Schizosaccharomyces pombe: one gene and its partners. Changing the gene in region 2 together with the main gene of any one other region gives a genetic interaction. Each region holds a gene or a part of one and is shown on either strand. Other genes may lie near its edges.

Region 1 (6,134 bases), on a different chromosome or scaffold from region 2:
TTTGAATGAAGAAAAAATAGCGACACAGGATGATCCGCTTGAAGCTCCAACGCCTATTGTTGCCTCATCCTCTACTATATTTCTCAATTCTAATCAACGAAATGATGAACTTTCTGCATCTGGGTCCCAAGAACCGCATCCGAAGGATGGTACAAATAGTACATCGAGCTTGCCTTTAGACACGAATAATCTTTCAAATTCTGAACCCCCTTCTCATGTGTTAGATGCTTCATCTGAGACCATTGAAGTCATTCAAACAATAAAAAAGTTACAAAACCAGGTTCCCGAAACTATTAAAGACGAAGTTGGGAAAAAGAACACTGCTTTCAGTCCCGGAACTTCGCTTTCGACGAATCATGTAAAAACAAAAAGCAGATCGGCACACAATAATTCCACATCTCCTTTTTCAACAGCAGTTTCTTCCTGGCTCAATCCACTTCGGTATCCTAGTGATAAGTCACCAAGGGTTATATCTTCATATCTTGAAAGCGTTTTTATTTCAAAACCAAGATCTATCGGCGATGCTCAAAAGTTAGAAATTTTAGAGTATCTTCAGAGTCAGTCTTCTACCGTATCAAACCAGGTATTTACCCTATTATCGAACTTCATTCAAAACCCACTCTTTGTTCTCGATGAATGTTTTGATGAATTCCGAAATTTGATTTTGATGCACAATTCTCACACAGTCCATACTGTTGTATGGAAGACTATATCTTCTTGGACATCATATGATTATGAAATGCAGTATTCATCTTTAAGCATTAAGAACTGTGATTCAGATAAAGCAATACGTAAAGATCTTGACAGAACGTTTGCTCCTGAAATTTTAAGTCACTTTTTTTCCAATCGTCAACAGCTAGAACCTACAGATAACATAGCAGAATCTACCGCTAATTTGCATCGTGTCCTACGGTCTCTTGCTATTGTCTTACCACAAGTTGGCTATACCCAAGGAATGTCATGGATCGCAGGTGCTTTACTTATGCACTTACCAGCGCCTCAAGCATTTGCCTTACTTGTCTTTTTATTCAAAAACTATCATTTGCAAAATATTTTTTCTTCAGAAATGAGAGGATTAAGTCGTGTTTTACACCAATTCACGCGTCTGGTGGAAGATTATATGCCATCTCTGGCAATTCATTTTAAGCGTCAAGACATCAAAACATGTTCGTATGCTTCAGAATGGTTTTTAACCTTGTTTGCCTATAAATTTCCTTTAGAAGTCGTTGCTCATCTGTATGATATTTTATTTCTGTATGGTCCAGGTATACTCTTCAATTTTGGGCTTGCGTTGCTAAGTCACAGTCAAGAGAGCCTGCTGAAACTCAATATGGATAGGCTGATTAGTTACCTTAAGGAAGACATTTTTTTGGCCTTTAAGGAGACTCAAGAAGGCGAGAATTATGATACATCTTTGTTTGTAAAAACTGCTTTCTCTTTCGAAATTCAGCCGGATGTCTTGGATCGATACGGAAATGAATATGACATTTTACTTAAATCGGAGCATGAGCTAGACTCTTCTCTTGAAGAAATGCGTAATAGGCACAAATCTTTAAATGAGCATTTTATCATGTTGTCAGATTCAATGGCAAATTTGCAAGTTGAACATGAGAACATGTCCGCTCTACTACTGAAAGAAAAAATGTATCTAAAAAATCAAACTGTTGAACAAGCATCATTAAAATCCGAAATTGCATCCTTAAATAGTCAACTTGCTAAGCAAAAGTCAGAAATAGAGCAGGCATTTCAAGGAGATATGGAAGCAATCATTGCTGAGAATTTAGAAATTATGGTTGAAAGTCAGTCTCTCGAAGATGAAATCTTTAGAAAAGAAAAGCAGCTTGCTGAAACTAAAGTTAACTTGGCCGTTTTAGACGAGGACCATATGATGGCTTTACAAAAATGGAGTCAGCTTATGAACCGCATAAAGACAAAGTGAATATAAAAGCATTCTAGGTACTATTGGAATATCTGCATCCTAATGATTGCCATAATAATTTATTTATATTGAGTTACGTTTAATGTGTATTATAAAAAATCTTTGTTCCTGCAAGTTTGTCTTACTTAAAAACATACAAACGATAGTTCAAATGAATGTATATTTAATGAATCGTCTCACCTTTAATCAGTGAAGAAAGAATTCTATTGCTCTTGATCACGACCACTTCGCTTAAACTCTATATTTCTGCCTAAAGAAATCGAGTAATAAATTTTAAAAAGCATCTGAAAATAATACAAGGTTATTATCAGTTTGATGACTTTATCTTGTACAAAAAATAGGTTTACAAAGTTCTAAAAAGAAAATTTAAGAGAAAAAAAGATATCATTAAAAAGCCTAGTTCTCAAATATACTTTTTGAAATAAAAGACAACGTGATTAAAGCAACTGAATTTCACAAACATTGACAGTAAATTCAAATGCAAATGTAAAAAAAAAGACACTTTACAAGTACAAGAAATAAAGGAATCGATTAAAACACGAATATATATTGCCAAGAAAAATCCAGTCAAAAATTTCATGTTAAAACCGGGAAATGAACTTGAGATTTTTGCAAAGAATCGATCAAGTCATACACATATTTAAATTGTGTGAAGGTTTGAACCATCTTCATCCGCTGCTTTCGGATATGATCAACCAACTGGAAAACGACGTCTGAAGAATCGGCGACAGAAGGATTGAAACCAGAAAGTTTGCTTTCTGGGAAGCGTAGGATCGTATCTAGTACAATAAAGGTTCCTGTCCGACCAACACCGGCAGAGCAGTGCACAATAGTATTTCCTGATCCGTGAGAGTTGTTCACATATTTTAAGAACTCAACCATAGATTTCACGTTTTCAGGAGAATTACAATCAGACCAATTAGGATATTGATAGTGATGTACTTTTTTAACTGAAGGAAAATTGGCATTCTGAATTTCAAACTTTCGCAAAATGAATCGAGAATTATCGACATTTTCCTCCGAAATTTGTTTGACACAGTAATCTCCATACACTTGTTTATCTCCAATACCATTACTTGGCCAATATGCAGTACACATTTCGCGGCCAGCCTCGAACAATGAACCAAGCATAACAATAGTGCCTATATTCTCCACATTGTCCCATACCATGTGCCAGAAATCGCTAATAGAACGAGAAATAGAACCTTGGCAAGCGATGTAATTTGAAGTTTCAGTTTTGATAAAGGAAGCATTGATATAATCGAGCTCTGAAGGGCTAGTTCTTTTCAAATGCACACGAGTACAATTGTAAGGAACAATGTCGGTATATCTGTTTTTCTTATACGATGTATTACTCAATGAATCAACGGTACTCCACTGAGAATTACGATCCGAACAAGAAACTAGACGTTGATGCTCCAATGATTGCAGGCGCAAGAACTTCTGGTAGAGGGTCGCAACATCTGGATTGGTAAAAGCATCGGGCACACTGTGTAAGCAGGGTGTCTGGACTGTAGCACTGCCAAATGGAGAAGATTTGTTGTCCTTGTTCTCAGGTAGAGGACAGAAAAAGTTATTTAAAGACAAACCGGCAACATTAGGAGTGGGAGGAGGACGAGAGAAGTAATCGGAGCCTTCGCTGGACAAAGAGATAGGAGCAGTTTGAGCAGCAGAGTAAGACAATCTGGGGCGAGCGCTAGGCAAAGCACCTAATTTACTTTTTACAGGAGAGTTGTCAATCACAGATGGATACTTGCCCGAGACTTTCGAATAGTCTAAATCTAAAATACCGAAGTCACCAGAATAGGATTCTTTTCTAAATTTTTCACCAATTACCTCAGCGTTCGTTACGTAGTTAGCAATCCAAGCAGGAACACAAACAAGAATGGATGAAAACTCTTGCCAGTTTTGAAAATCTCTCTTGTCGTCGACGTCGTGAAGATTGCTGATGATACGCGCGACCGAAAAGGCAGGACGCTTAATTAAGGTTGCAGGTAAAGAAAGATTGACGGAGCCCTTAATTCTAGATTTGGAAAACTCGGATACGGGACGAAGGTCGATGATCAATGTGTCATCCTTCCAAGCTTCCTTGTCGAGATATTCTTGGAGGCAAGAAGCATGAACAGCATACTTACTCGTTGCTACACCCCGCTGAGGAGGTAAAGCAATACATGAACCCGAAGGAGCAATTGTAAAAGTAGACGATTTTGAACCGTTTGAAAAATTCATCGTGGTTTTTTAGATGAATGTTTTGTATTAAGAATATTTGGCCTTAAAAAAGAAGCAGAGATGATTAAAAAAAAAAGTAAAAAAGTAAAAAAAAATTCAGACTTCTTAAATAAAATACAAATATTGGATAGCACAAGTTTTGAAGGCCGAAAGCAAAATAATGAATGGATAGGAAATATCAAAATTACGGAAAATCCAGGGTTCTAAAAAGGAAAGAATTAACGCAAAATTTGGCAATAAAATTAGTAAAATATAGAAGGAAACAAGAGAAGATTCAAATCAAGTCTGAGATGAAAAAAGTTTTTCAATTCAAACTTTCTGCAGAAAATAAAGATGGAAGAGTTTTAGAGGGGATGAGGAGTATCCAATTCAAAGAATGGGTTTGAATCAGTACTATGCAAATATGAGAATAAAAAGGGGGAATCCTTAAAAATTAACGGATTAATGAATCGTCACTTCAAAGGTCAAGCGATTTTAAGAGGAAAATAAAAATACTGCTTGTGAGTGCACAGTGCAAGATTGCAAAAAGCAACACTATTTAAGAAATTATTTCGTATTTAGTAGAAAATGCAAAAAGGTAGGGCACACGCACGAAAACAGTAACCAGACTGAACAAAAATATAAGATAGAGGGTATAAGAAATATTATAAGTTGCAGTTTGTCAAAGTGCAGAAAAGTATACAAGTAGGAGATCGAGGAACGAAAAGAGGTAGAGGCTAATTGAAATGTAATGACAATGGAATAATTTTCCTACAAAACAGAAAACCCAATTTAAAAGTCAGAAGCGTATTCAAAGCTAAAGGGGGGAACCAAAAGCACGTTGATGCAACAAACTAGCAAAAACGTAAGGTCAACTAAGGATGAAAATTACAGAGCACACGTCTGTAAATAAACCAAATGAATGGTGAATACTTAGACAGATGAGTTCAGAAAAAAAGAAACAGAACTATTCAGAATGCAGAACCCCACAAAAAAAACAATAGACAAGTAACCACCAAGACCCCAAAGTGAAGTGAAAACAAACGGTAAAGCAATGAAGAAAATGGGAAAAAAATTCAAAACTTAATCCGAAAAACTCAAGGGAAAGGAATATATGAGCTCTTCAAAGGTTCAAAAAAAGCGATACTACACTGTGGAAAGAAACCCAAGAGTACACCTTTTTGAGAAAAGACAAAGAAAATGATGAAACGAGAAATAGGATAACTAGAAAAGGAGAATTCCGAAAATATGAAAATATCAACGAAAAGGAAACAAGAAAAAAAAAGAGGGAGGTATAAAAAAAATGTAAAAGGAGAAAAATCTAACCCAATTGAGAGAAAGAAGTGGTGAAACAAAAGTTGAGAAAAGTTGAAGAAATTAACTATTTTGCATCGTACGGGATAAAAAAATGAAGCAAATAGAAAAAGCACGGCGATTCAACGATATATCTGGTGCTCTTTTATGGAAGGAAAAAAGACTAGTTCTTCCTATTTATTCACTTTGAGTTAAAGTTTAGAAAAGAAAAGATGGGCGCAGGTAATGAAACAAACGACTTTTAAAAGCTACGTATAGCGGTGGAGAGACAACAGAGAGAACTGTTGACGAGATGAAGGATGGAGGAAAAAATCTAAGAAAGAGAATTAAACGCACTAAACGTCAACGAAATCAAGTCTAACGATTTTTGATTTTTACCAAACGATCAGAGCAAGGACTGAGCGACGAACCAAGGTAAAATTTTTCATACGATCCAACAAAACGACGATGAAAATAAGATCCAATCTTATACTTTACCCAACGTTTAAACAGGAAACCCAAAAGATAAAAAGGATTGGGAGCAAGTAAAGGGTTAAGAGGAGGAAGGGAGAGGACGAGCGAGCGATATGTAGAAAGAGAAGAAGAAGTAGAAATAGGTATATCTTGGAGCACCAAACAATGATATCACTTAATAGTCCCCCGGGTAAGAAAGAAAAAAAAAAAAGCCAACGAC
Region 2 (8,060 bases):
AACGGTCGAGATGAGTACAAAGTCAAAGGACCAACATGCAAGGGTATCATATTTATACCAGGCTTCGCAATTACTTTTTAGAAACGTTCAAGAACCTACATTGTCGAGACACTATATCTCTACAGCCAAGGATGTTTCACAAAAATCAGTAATGCGAATACACCCAGATATAAAGCGCACCATATGTAAAGGATGTAACTCTTTATTGGTACCAGGAAAGTCATGTTCAATAAGATTTGAGGAACCATCACGGAAAAATCCATCTATCGATCGTGTATTGTGGATATGCAAAAAATGTGCGTTTAAAAAAAGGTTTTCGGACAAAAGTTGTTAAAACATGTTTAGCATTACTTTTGGAATGAAAGATTATTTGTATTCTATAAAGCCGGAGCAACTTTTGTTTGGTATTTTGGTTCTTTAATTTCGCGAGATTGCGATTCAAGTAAAGAAAGATTCCCCATTTCCCGCTTACTCCTTTTTCTTTTGAAATTTTAAAGGGTTTTTGTTGTACATAGACCAAGCAGGAAGACACACCTATTTTTAAATGAATGTTAATATTACATGACTAGAAGCAAAAAAACTAGCTTACAAGAGCCACCAACGATGCTAAAATTAAAAACAATTTAATCACACAATAAGAATCTTGAACTAAATACCCATAAATGTACGAAATAACCTATAGATATATTAGTAAATAAATGAGATTTTATCCCTGACATACAGCACTTGTACATAGACCATAGTTCATATACTTTTGACACCTTAATTGTCCTGCAAAATCGATCGTACCTTCAAGATAGTTCATGGTATGCTTGCTCTTTCTCAAAACAGTAAAGTTGCTTTTTGTATTATGTGGTTACAACGAATGAATCTCGTTATCGTTCGGTTTACCATAATAACGTGTTGTAATCCAATAGCACGTTGTACATTGATGAATATGAAACAAAAAACAAGCAAAAAAAGAGGCATGAAAATATATAGGCAAATCGGTTGCTCCTTCATTTTCAATAGATGTAAATCAACACCTCAATGTCAAATTCGATTTGAAAATGAAAAAGCGGCTCATTGATGACCTATTAACATTATATAGAAATGATCTTTACAATTAACAGGTTAAGGTACTTCAGCGTTCATAAACGATTAATAATTAATAAAGATTCACCAACAAGGGCTTAATTTAAATGTATGTGACTTAAATCGTATATTAATTGCTTAGGTGGTTTTTTTTTTCATTTGGTGAAATTATCTTTTATTAGATGTGCGATTATCATAAATTTTGCTAGTACTTCATTGCTAAAAGAGGTCAAGTCTCCACTAACGGTATAAAACAAGCATTACACGTATACCTTAAGCAATTTGGGTCGTGCCAAAAGCAATTAGTAATGTGTAGCTGTTAAAGTTATTAGGTTCCATAAAATTAAGAGCTTATTGCTTCAAAGATTTGTCCTTTCCGATTTTAAAAGTTGAGGTCTTCTTAGGGATAATTGCTTCGGCTAATTTATAATAATTTCTAATAGATCACCTTCAGTATTGATAAATTGCCTACTTGAAAAGTCAATGTGCAAAGCGTTTCAGAAAGTAATCATCGATGTCAGCAAAGGTCGTTTTAAAGGATTTCTTATCTCAAGCGCCAATTGATAAGTTAAAAGCTACTTTAAGTGGTCATTTGCCTGTTAGTTGCATAACAATGGATGCTAAAATAACATCATTACAGCCTGGTTACCATTTTCTTTTTTTCTCTTTAGCATCTCCTGAATCAAATTTGAATTCAGATGGATATGAAAGTCTTTATTCCCCAAAGCCAAATAATCCTTTTTCTTTTAAGCGCCGAATATGGTTACATGGAGTCCTTCGTTTTCATAGACCTTTACATCTTTTCCAAACTTCGGAATGTCATGAATTGATTCAGGAAGAATCTGTGAAATCTCCATCAATTACAAAAGAAGTTGAAGCTTGTCTTCCAAAAAGTTCTTTTCTAACAAAGCCTACTTCAGAAAAACAGACAAAGCATGTATATATTCGAAGAAAAATTTACGACAGTCAGCATCAATTATGTATCGAGGAAGATAGAACATTAGCCTATTTAAATCGACAAGAACTGGCTATACCAAAAACTTTACGTAGCAAAAGTATTCCACAACACTCTTGGGTATTCACACCTACACCTATTATGGTGTTTCGCTATTCAGCATTAATGTTTAATGCTCATATGATCCATTGGAATGCGACATACGCTACAAAGTCCGAAAATTATCCAAATCTCGTTCTTCCAGGTCCTCTTCTAGTGACTAGTATGTTAGAGTACTTTCGTTCTGTTTATCCCCAAATGTCAAAGAACATGAAAAGATTTGAGTTTCGATTATTATCTCCCGCGTTTGTCAATCAACCACTACGCATATGTATCTCAGAGACAGGTAACCTATGGATTGATCGATTTACTACAGACCTTGATCCACCGTCTTTGATTGCTAGAGGCCGCGTCTATACCTAACATAACTGAAAAACAATAATAATTAATACCGGCAGAAAAAATATTTCTAAATTACAAATACTACTTACTAATATTAAAATTTAAGTATGTAAAACTAAATCAAATTACATGATAGGTATTCAATTTAAGGTGAAAACACACAAAATTTTTTATTAACATTTAACAGTAACTTGGTAAGAAAAAAAAAACAATATTAACCAATCCCAATAAAAATGAAAACAAAATATAAAAACACTTATGACCGTCCAAAATAAAAAAGGAAACCGTTAGACGGAGAAGGGGTTTGAAATTACACATGAAGCTTGAGGATACGATGAAATGAAGAGGCAAAATTAAGATGATAAATGTACATGAAAGGAGACAAAGGAAAAAGCACTTTCAAAAGGGCTGTGAAATAATAACGGTACCAATTTTTTTCTTGAAAATAATTAGCAAAATGCAACTTTTTTTAAAATTCATAAACAAGGAATCAATGAAGAAGCGTAAGAGGTGAAAAATGACAATAGATAATGCAATAACCTTTTTTTAATATTTGTGGCAGAAGAGACTCCTTTCAATTTATCTACCGTGTTTCACACGGAGATGCCTAACCAAGGCATCATGTCTACTGAAATGGCGTTGATCGCCACAAATCTCACATCGAAATACAGGTCGTGTCTTAGCATGTATCGTATCCTGGTGACGGATCAAATCATACGTCCTAGAAAACACTGTGTTACAAATTTCTCCTGTAACTCTGTTCTGAAGAGTACACCGAACTGGACCAATTTGTTTACCAAATTTAAACTTCCTACGCTTCCTCTGAGCACCCGTAGCAGTAGTAGAAGAATTTGTAGGAGTGGTGTCAACAGGAGCAGATCCGTTGGGGCCATCAGCAGCAGCACCGGTGATGCTTACTTTTTGGTTGGTTGGATTAGGTACCACGGAATGAGAAGACCTAGTATTGTAATACGACTTAACGTCATTTAGGTCATGAGTAGCAGCCGATTGAGAGTGAGGAGCGTTGGAACTGTCTAACTCTGAAGTCGGTAATAAGTTAGGTATATTAGCAGAGGTTTTAACAGGAGAAGTGAGTGGAGGAGAGGAGCTGATCGTAGTATTTGAAGGTACGACAACAGGAGGCTGTGAAGGAGAAAGTGAATGTGGATTTACCGACGTACCAAGCACCAAGGAGGGGCGATGCTTGGCATTGTATGATCGCGTTATCGGAGGAGACAAAGAAGGGATGCGTTGTTTAATAGATTCTTTATTGAAGCTGTCCTGCCGAACATCGGAGTGCATGTTATCATTGACCATAGATACATCCTTCCCATCATATATCTGAGCGGAGTTTTCTTGAGGAAGAAGAGAGTCAGCAGCAGCTCCCAGAGCATGAGAACGGCGTAACGCAGTGCTCGTCGCCGAGTCCTTCATAGGATGCGCCCGCACTTCCGGATTTTGTTCCATACGGGATTGAAGTCCCGTTGGAGATACAAGGGAGGAATCCTTGTTGTCGGTATAAAGGTTCTTAGAGGAATCAAAATTTTGGGTCTTGAGAGGATTGTTAAGGGTAGAGGGATTTGCTTGGTGTTGAGGTGAGACATCTTTTGAGACTCTGTCTGACTTTTGATTGTGACCCAGTGACCTTTTTAAGTCACTTCCATTCTCCAAATAATCGGTTGAAAAAGGACCACTAGGAAGAGAGGCGTCCTTTACAAGTTGTTCGGAGACAGAGTCACTTGCATCCATGGATATCGAGGGCAACGGTTCCATATCCAAAGGTGGAGAATTCATGGGAAATGGATTACCGTTGATGTCGGAAATCGCGCCAGTGCCATCAGCAATCACCTGACTAGGTAAATCGAAAGAGTTGGAGAAGGGCTGGTCATTAATGGTGGAAGCAGATGGAGTAAGAGGAGGAGGGACGGACATGCTTGCAGATGCGTTACTCCCAGCATTTCCACTGGGGGAACTGTTAGCAGTAATAATGTGATTCGTTTGAGCCGAGGTAGGTTCGTTCGACCCGTTGACAGGAGGTGTGGTGATAAATTGATGATTGCTGCCAAGGGACGAAGGGACACTTGGAAAGTTAGCAGCGTTACCATAGTCAGATGCTAAGGGATCAAATGGCATGTCCATCGAGGAATCGGGAATAGTGTCGAGGGAGAAGGGGTCCATTGTGTCAGCATCGTTGTAGACACGAATGGGAACGTTCATCATATAGTCCCAGGAGGACATATCAGATAAATCTGAGTTATTTTCTTCTAACGTAGTAGGGTTAAAACGCTTTAAATTGAGTTCGGGCATCGAGATTTGCTCGAATTCAGCATCCGAGAATGCATTCGGAAATACATTAGTCACAGAGCGACCATTCATTTTGGATTTACGATTTTGTTGCAATTGGGATCCATTAAATTGCCAATCTGGAGTGGGAAAGTTATCGTTCCCATTACTAGAAATTGATCTTGCATATGTGTTGTTTGTAGTGTCCATACTACCCAGCAAAGATGCGCGAGGCAATGTATATATAAAGAATGACGTCAAGCGTCTGATTGAAAAAACCACCCTTGTCAAACAACATTGGTTAGCAATTGACGTCGTTTTACATTGATTGAGCCAATCAGAGGCCGCCAATGAAGTAGCATGGAAATGTCAGAATGCGCTGGCAGTGCTGCTGATTCGTTCTTTTCAAATAAAAGCGCGTAATGTGTAAGCGAACCCCAATTACATTCCTTCAATCTGCGACTTGCGCTCTACGCTGTCCTCTCATATGGAAAGCGAGCTTCCAGTACTTAAATCACCTTATATATCGCGGTTAGTCATAACGCACTAATGAAGGAATACGCTGCAAGCTTCATTCCAAAAGCAATCATAGAATGAGGTCAAAATGAAGAGGCGGAGTCGGGGAAAGATGAGATTGAAGGATGAATCAAGTCCACGATACTTTTAGGTCATATCACGACGTTGATTTGCATCTTACTCTAGTTACTCGTACTTTAGAGATGCGATGGAATTGAGGATGTTTGGTACAACAAATGTCTTGTTTTTCGTTTGCGCCGTGTCACGCTACTCCTAAGATAGCAGCTAAATGAAAAGTCTAAAAACGCTAAAAAAATTTCCTCCCTACATGTTCAAGTCAATCAAGTGCTTCATGTTCCCGATCACCATATCGGCATCGCAATGCAGACCTCGATTGCTTACTTAAACTCGGTAATCTCGTCTTCCGTTACCCTACATGATCACGGAATTCATCAAGTCGTTTTTACTTTTTTTTTTCCTTCCCTTCTTTCTTTCGATGCCGATGATCTTCGCTACTCTGGGGGAGTTTACCGACGATCAAACTCATCATTATTCCACGCTTCCGTCGTGTGACCTTCTCCTTATTCGTGGAGAAGTTAAAGAAAATGCCAGATGCTTCTTGCATAACCCAAAAATTAGTCATCAGCATCATTCTTTCTGGTCCTTAATAGAAGGATGTTTGGAGGCGCTGCAATTTGGCTTACTAGCAATTCTTCAGGGATTATTTTCTCAGTTTGCATGGGAAGCCTGCTCTTGTACCTTTGCATGCATGCTTCTTACTAGCGAACGTACTGAACCGTCTTATCCGTTTTCCGAGATTACAGAGGTCAGTCGTGGTGGGTTGCACTTCGTTAAGTTGAATTAAGTATGCTTAACTCAGGTGAAGTCAATTTGTCGATGTCGATGAGATTGGCTAGTACACGAAGGGGATGCGGAGCTGCTAAGCAGAGGAGTGATTTAACTATGAAACCAATTCGTAGGATAAAGTATACTTTACCGATCGATATGGATGATGCAGATGTAGGAATCAATTATTCTACTTTCTTGTGAAAAGCATAACCCATGTGTATTATTTTCAAACAAGTCAAACAGATGGATAGCCAACACGCATATGACTGCTTACTCAAGTACAAATGACTTTTAGAGCATACCAATTTCAACAGACTTTTATCACTAGTGCAACTATCTTTTTATCAGTTGTAGTCTTTCAAACATCAATAATCACTGGCATTCACACACGGCAATACCAATCATTATGTTATTACGAGAACAACTCGTGAACAAATGGATTCCAGTGTGTTCTAGCATACACATAAATGTCTCGTCTTTCTACTTTATTATTTAGTCGATGAGTGGAACAATTAATAAACTTACCATTCAATATTGCACTGACAAACGTATACTTTTTTATATTTCTCTTTCTTTTCGTAGGCTTTACGTACTTACTCTTCCTTATTTTCCTCTGCAACGAAAAAGAGGATTGGATTATGGGCTTCGTCAAACGTTACAATTACAGAGTAACCTTGTAATAAGATGAAGTAAAATATAAAGTAAACGACGTGTAGTGATAAAAAATCTGTATTTTTGTCAAAGTGAACTTAATTGTTCAACGCGTTCTGATGTCATATGCCCAAAAATAATTCACCTACCCAAGGTAATTGAAAAATTTGTCAATACAAAACGAATGCTTTATAAACACAAAAGAAAACATGTCAGATTAGAGAAAGAGTCGTACGCTCTCATTGCTGAAAGCTTTTTATCCTTAACACTTTACTGGAATTTGTTAGTCCCGTTGACTATGTGGTTGTTAGATACAGATTAGGTAAATTCATTTATTGTGGTATTAAGCAAGGAGCGGAAGAAAGTACGTACTTTTTTACATTGTTAAAAGTTTTATTTGACGAAATTACAACACTTAATAAGTATCTAAGTATGCGATCGAGCTGATTCAATTTGATATCTCTCAATTAGAAAGTTGCGTATTACCTCACAACTACGATGTACCGTACAATTCACAATCTTCCTGGCTATGCAACTGTTTGCTATCAACTAGTCGCTTAGATAACCTTCTTTAACCCCATTCACTAGACACACTTTCCCCATACCCAGAAAGATGACACGAAGAACAGTGTAACGCATCAACTAGGTTAATTTGCTTAAGGTCGCACAAACAATTACCTAAAGAAAAACTTGCGCGTTTACTATATTTGTACTACTTATAAATATCACGATACGATTCGGGTTTAATGAACATTATATTAATCATTTCATTCAATAAATGTATTAATCACAAATCCACGAAGAAAAATTCATCTTCTTGTCAGATGGAGTATTCAGCCGTGATACAACGCGATATGAAAAATTTCTCACAAAGACCAAACGCCTTTTTGTCTATGAATTGCACTAGCAAATTGATAATGCTTCTTCTGATATCGCCCAGATGAAAAACATTCTCGTTTGGCATGTATATATAGAATAGTTATAGTGTACACATAAAATTGATAGACTCGAAACAAAAAATTCGGAGTCGGCAATTGATATCGAATTTAACCACCGAAACCATAAATGGTACGGCCTTGACGCTTCAAAGAGTAGACAACATCCAAAGATGTAACAGTCTTACGCTTGGCATGCTCAGTATAGGTGACAGCATCACGAATAACATTTTCCAAGAAGAGCTTGAGGACAGCACGAGTCTCTTCGTAAACTAAAGCGGAAATACGCTTAACACCACCACGACGAGCAAGACGACGAATGGCAGGCTTAGTAATACCTTGAATATTGTCACGAA
Region 3 (6,033 bases), on a different chromosome or scaffold from region 2:
TAAAAATTATCTTGATCACATAAAAGTATTACTCATCCATGTGCTTCATAAATGTACGCTTGTGATGTTGAACACCTAAGGTACCAAGTTCGTCAATGTCAGCCTTGTCTAGAGTGAAAGAATCAAAATTCAAGCACTCCTTCATACGCTCAATTTTTGAGGTAGTAGTGATAGGTATAACGCCTTTAGAATAGGCCCACTTGAGAAGAATTTGAGTATCAGAAACATGGTACTTGCTCTCCAATGATTTAGTGAATTCAGCAACAGGACCTTGCGCATCACGAACCAAGGGAGAAAGAGGGCCATAACCCTCAACGATAATTCCTTTACTCTGGCAAAATTCTACAAGAGGCTTCGCGGCCTTGTATACTTGAGGGTGAAATTCGATTTGGTTGACACGAGGAGTAATAGTTGAAGTTTTCAACAGCTCCTCTAAGTCGGGAATACGAAAGTTAGAAACACCAACTGAGTGGACAAGACCGGTTCCCAAAGCCGTTTCCATTGCTTTCCAACCTTCAGAAATGGGTATTTTCTTTTCATAGAAAGGAATAGGACTATGCAAAAGGTACAGGTCCAAATAGTCAGTACCAAGCTTACGTAAAGATTCGTTGAGGGCTTCAGGAATGTTATCGACATTATGCATAACCTTGGAAGTAATAAAGAGTTTGCTTCTTGGAACATTAGCTTCCTTCAAAGCCACCCCAACTTCCTCTTCGTTGCCATATACTTCCGCGCAGTCGATATGAATGAAACCAGCAGCAAGTGCATTCTTTACCGAATCTACAATGGTTCGATTGATTTCTCCCTTTTCTTTCTTAAACAAAGCTGTACCAACCCCATAAGCAGGGACGGGAATCTTAGGGCCCATAGCAGCGATAAGCATGTTGAAAATGTTAAGAGTACGAAAGAACTTGAAAGTAGAAAAAGAGTAAGCTACAAAGAGGCGCTACTTTAAAAGTTGCAGGATAAAAATTGTTAAATAGAAATGAATGGAATAAACGTTAAACCGAGATTTTTGCAAGCAAAAGAAAAGAGAATCGCAGCAAGAATTAATAAATTTCTTCTTTAAAAATGCTCTGTTTAGGTGAAAAGAGTGCGAGAAAGGGCCGTATATCGCTATTTATATAGATTTCCAAAAACTTAGTCAGATGACATCAGCCAAGTCTGGCTTGGCATACAGAATATCTGACTGACGTTGTGCAGCATCTAAGAGAGGAGTCTTTGGAACTTTAAAATGAAGAATTATCTGATCAGATAAGGAACAAACGTGTAACCAAAAGCAGATTTGTTCCAACTAAACAGTGTAAGTTGAATAGAAAACAGTTTTACAGGCAAGAATAAGTTGAACGTTAGATTCGGTATTTAATTGATTTAGCAATATTCAATTCTTGAATGAATCCCTCTGTTTTAGCTGCGAGGATTATCTTCACCACCAGATGAGTTGGCGGTTTTTACAGCATATTCTTACCTATAATGTTAATAAATGTAAGGTAGTTACCATTAAGCTGTAGCGTTATAATAGCAATGCTTTAATCATAAACAATGCTTACTCAGTTTTGCTAGATCATTTTTTACTATAGTCTTTATCGGCAAGAAATTGAGGAAACTCCTTCAAGGCATGATGATCGTAATCATTTAAGAAGTCTTTGACATGTATTATGCATCTAAATGTCAGAGGTTGAGAAAAAAACAAATAAACAAATCTGAAAGTGTCAGGAAAATGACTTGGCAATAATTCAAGCTTATTCATGTTAACCAACGTCAATAGTAATGGTTAATAACTCGACGTCCGCTTAACAAACACTAGGGTAAATTTACCTGCAACTTGTAATTGAGGAATTCTAAACGCATTCCCCACAAGCTAGTTTCTGTTAACAAATATTTTTATAGATTTTGTCTAAAATCTATTTTCTGGTTAAATAATCAGTAAATTGCTACACTTTTATTCACAAGAAAACAAATTTTTAAAATAAAAATTTATTAGTGAAATCCTATATGATGATTTAAGTTACCCTAATACTCAAAAAAGGAAGGTTGTCCGAGTGGTTATGGAGCTAGTTTAAGGCACTAGTGCGAAAGCTCGTGGGTTCGAGTCCCACACCTTTCATTACGATCTTTTTAATAAATTTTTTTACATTTTATAAACAAATGTAAAATGACCCTTAAATATAGTTAAAACATATATATTGTGGATATCTCTATTCATCTTCTTCCTAAATTTTTCGTCTCGGCGTTGCATATTTGGTCAACAAAAACTATTCAGCGCTCTTATGATATGGAGATGCTTCTACAAGAAAATCATTTCGCACTACAAACAGATGGGGTGGTAAAAACAATTAAAAATTCGAATTATATTTAAAAGACAGATAAAAGGAAAAATAAAATAGCAACCTTAGACTCAAATTATATAGCCGATAGTCAAGATAATATTATTAAGTTCGACTTAACAAGGTAAAGTTTGAAAACTTGTTCAAAAGAAACCAGAAAATAGTATTAATAGAAAAGAAGAAAGACAAGACAATTTCAATGTGGGATACAAGATGCTTTAGCGAGTGGATCAATCAAATTAAATCAAATTTGATGTTTCTGCAATTCAAATATAATACACAGCTTTAAGGCACTATAATAAGGCCTAGTTAAAGTCAGAGAGAAAATGGGGGAAAATTGCTTAGTGATTTCAAGGGTAAAGAGAGGAGAAAAAATTTGGAAAGCAATTAAAAAAGAAAAGAAAAATACAACAAGATTTATATAGCACACAAAATTATTGATAGTTAAAAAGGACCAAAGAAACTTTTAACACCTTGAAAGCAATTTAGCAGCTAAATGATTCAAACGCAATCACAATCTACTTAGCCTTAGTGCTGATCTTTCCCTGTTCGTTGAAAAGAGGTCCCTCAGTTCCAAAAACACGGTCCCAAAACCAGCTGGTGATACCATAGGCAGACTTGTAATCCTTGTAGTGATGGTCCAAATGCCAGGTCTTCAAATCAGTCAAGTAAGCATTGGGCATACGACGGTGATGTAAGAAATAGTGGGTAAGATCGTAGAAAACGTAACCAAGAATGGCACCAGAGAAACCAGCAACACCAATGTAGTGAGGAAGAACAAGTTGAATAAAGTGATACCAGGGAGTGGCAAAGATAAGGAACAAAGCAGGAGGCATTACAAGACGGTACTTGTCAGCAGGTAAGAAGTGGTGGCAACCGTGGAATGCGAAGTGCATAGTCAAGAAAATAGGATGATCAGGGGTGTACTCATCCAAGTGGAAGAGGAAACGATGCATAGTATATTCAACCAAAGTCCAGGTGAATAATCCAATGATGAAGAAGGTGATAGCAACAGAGAAGGGAATTCCGGTACAGGCGTACAAGAATCCATAAGTGACACAGGGAACCCAAATCAATGGAATCATATACCAAGGGGTCTTGGTAAGAGGCTCCAAAAAGTTTCCAAACAAAGGAGCAGAACCGCTGCCACGGTAATGACGGGGACGGTGAACTTGGTCCAAATAAACATCCTTCTTGATGTTACCAAACAAAATTTGGGGCAATAAAGGCTTCTTGAGGTCAAGGAAATGGTTCTTCTCGAAATCCTTGTCAAGATCGGTAGGCTTGACAATGAATTCATTGCCATAACCGACACCAATGTTCTGGTCGACAAGATCACTGAATTCCTTATTCTTCAAAGGAACCTTAGCACTTTTCAAGATCTCAACAACAGCTTCAGAGTGCTTGGACTTGGAGGTAGCATTAAGGATATCAGCAACCTCTTGGCGGTGATAGCGACGAAGCAAGTCAGCAGCGTCCTTGTTGGCAACCAAGTAGTTGGTGACTAATGGAATGTTAGTATAAAGAACGATACATGTATTTTGGTGTAACTAAGGCAAAGGGGGAAAGGTGAAAAAAAGTTAAAAGCACAACGAACAAAGAAAAAAGATAAGAAATGGCACATCTCCCACAATGGATCTTTTGCCAATAAGCCTTTGCTATATGCGTTTTCATTGTTTTTTATACATTGCCTCTCAAACACTCTGTTGCCGAGAAAAAATTTTAGTCCTTCAACCAAATCTCCTTCTCAAAACCCAAACACCCTGCCATTTCTCCTTGTTTAAATACTTACCATCGTATTCAGTGCCGTCAGAAAGGATAACACACTTTTCACTAGTAACAGAGGCCATTTTGGAGATGGGAGTATGAATTGTTAATTCGTGATAAAACTGTAGCAAGCGTGTTTCTGATGAGTTTGATAAACAAATACAGTAAATATTACAACGTAGCAACTGATCCTATGATTCTTTACTTGGATTTTTGTCCAATTGATCAAAATGTCAGTTCTTTGTTTGTGTTGCGTTAATGGCACGATGTTGTGGCGTGGATGCAGTAGCCTATATATGTCGCAGGAAAGGGCAAAAAGGCATTGCGGGGCGAACCAAAAAATCGTGCTATTTTTGATCGACTTTTCCGAAAAATGGTAAGACAACGGAAAACAATATTTACCGTATCGCAAAACGGGTTCCGAAACTGAACACCAGAAAATTGCACTCAAGGGCCTATACACAGGGAAAGAACAGACGAGTGAAGTGCTTTACAGATACAATTCATTGATTTATTCATAGTAGACTAAAAATTATTATTTGCGAAAAAATACTTGAAAAGAGAAAACCTTAAGTTGATCGAAATTTATTAACTTTTCGTGATTTACTTTTCGTTGGTTTGGTTAGGTATAATTTTGTTTTCCTTCCTTTCCGTTTCTTTGCTTCTTATTGTCGGTAATTGTTTTTAGCTTGGAATTTCCTTATTCCGCTATTCCTCGCTTTCTTTTTTGTTTGTACTAAAATTTCTCTCATCTTTTATCGCTTAGGCAGTAGAATATTCCACTTTTTTTTCCACCGAAAGAAAGAGGACAAAATAGCTCAAAAGAGTACTCATTATTAATATTTTTTAACAAAACAATTCGTGTTAGAAGCGACGAAAGCTACTAGACTGACAAAACTCCATTTTTACTAGCTTACTTAGTTTTCCAGTCGAAGTCTGTTCCGATCCTGTCAGAGTTTGTTGTATTGAAAACGAAAATAAACGAACGTATTTTCCACGCATAGATAAACAGATCTAATCTAAATGCAGCTGGACGCGGAAGCCTTGGCTGAGGCTCCTTTTCGTAAGCAAGAAGTGGTACGTTTACAATTTTTTTCCTTCCTTCCCGCCTTTTCCCTTTGTTTTTTTGTCTTCCCGTGTTTATTGTTTTTACTAACCCTTTTCCTAGCCGCAAAATCAAGAAAATCAGCAAAAGGCATCTTCTTCTTTTCATGAATCCTCACTCACCTCTTCCACTCATAGTCATCCCTCTAACCCTCCTCCACCGCCTACACGGTTGCATGATCGCTCTTTCAAACCCGTGTCTAAAAATTACGAAAGTGAAGGTCGTCTAACTCCTCCTCCCGTTTCAATGGGTTATCGGTACGCCAGATCTTCCAAACAATCTTTTCAACGAGAGGATAGCGGTTATAACGATGATGTAGTTACAAATTCCTCAAGTCATCGCACCCCAAGACACCATAGGAGATCATATAGTCCAAGGTCCGATTATGGTAGTCGCTCTCCCTCTCCTCACTCTTCTGTAGATTCTCATCAAAGTAGATCACCCGTTCGTTCTCGCGATCGCGATCGCAGTTCAAGGTCAAGTCGAAGCCGCCATCCCTCAAGTCGTAGTCGCCATCGATACGATGATTATTCACGCAGCCCTCCTTACTCTTCGCGGCATAGTCGTAGTCGTCGCCGCTATGAAGAACGCTCCTCTCGTTCTTCTAGAGCCCATGATTATGATTATGAGGACTTGAGGGATGATGACCGTTCACATGAGCGTAAGAGAAGTCGTTCCCGTCCTCGTGAACGCTCCTCTAAACTTTCAGAGGAAGAGCGTGATCGCCGTACTGTGTTCGTTTCTCAACTCGCAAATCGTTTGACTTCTAGGGAATTATATGATTTTTTCGAACAAGCTGGTCCTGTTCGCGATGCTCAAATTGTTCGAGACAAG

Evidence for each region. A genetic interaction does not mean that the proteins touch.
Region 1: mutations in rsv2 (region 2) and pyp1 impair growth when combined (synthetic growth defect), as found in Schizosaccharomyces pombe (2 studies listed by BioGRID, with this or other methods).
Region 3: mutations in rsv2 (region 2) and scs7 together harm fitness more than expected from each alone (negative genetic interaction), as found in Schizosaccharomyces pombe (2 studies listed by BioGRID).

Annotation. Positions count from the first base shown.
Region 1 is NC_003424.3:5,159,546-5,165,679, reverse strand, and holds pyp1 (protein tyrosine phosphatase Pyp1), read right to left. Parts: upstream 4,169-6,134; coding exon 2,516-4,168; 3' UTR 2,320-2,515; downstream 1-2,319. Other genes in the region: GTPase-activating protein Gyp51, read left to right, coding at 1-1,939. UniProt on the Schizosaccharomyces pombe protein: Plays a role in inhibiting the onset of mitosis. Dephosphorylates sty1/spc1 and wis1/spc2/sty2.
Region 2 is NC_003423.3:3,529,834-3,537,893, reverse strand, and holds rsv2 (DNA-binding transcription factor Rsv2), read right to left. Parts: upstream 4,967-8,060; 5' UTR 4,964-4,966; coding exon 3,050-4,963; 3' UTR 2,606-3,049; downstream 1-2,605. Other genes in the region: RNase P subunit Rpr2, read left to right, coding at 11-334; signal peptidase complex subunit Spc1, read right to left, coding at 469-534, 590-676, 722-805; 3-hydroxyacyl-ACP dehydratase Htd2, read left to right, coding at 1,589-2,491; SPOM_SPBC1105.13C (uncharacterized protein), read left to right, coding at 5,706-6,134; hhf3 (histone H4 h4.3), read right to left, coding at 7,816-8,060.
Region 3 is NC_003424.3:4,055,102-4,061,134, reverse strand, and holds scs7 (ER sphingosine hydroxylase Scs7), read right to left. Parts: upstream 4,360-6,033; 5' UTR 4,178-4,359; coding exon 4,120-4,177; intron 4,100-4,119; exon of another isoform or gene 3,832-4,099; coding exon 2,846-3,831; 3' UTR 2,320-2,845; downstream 1-2,319. Other genes in the region: SPOM_SPAC19G12.09 (NADH/NADPH-dependent indole-3-acetaldehyde reductase AKR3C2), read right to left, coding at 29-883; RNA-binding protein Rsd1, read left to right, coding at 5,118-5,171, 5,263-6,033. UniProt on the Schizosaccharomyces pombe protein: Ceramide hydroxylase involved in the hydroxylation of sphingolipid-associated very long chain fatty acids. Postulated to hydroxylate the very long chain fatty acid of dihydroceramides and phytoceramides at C-2.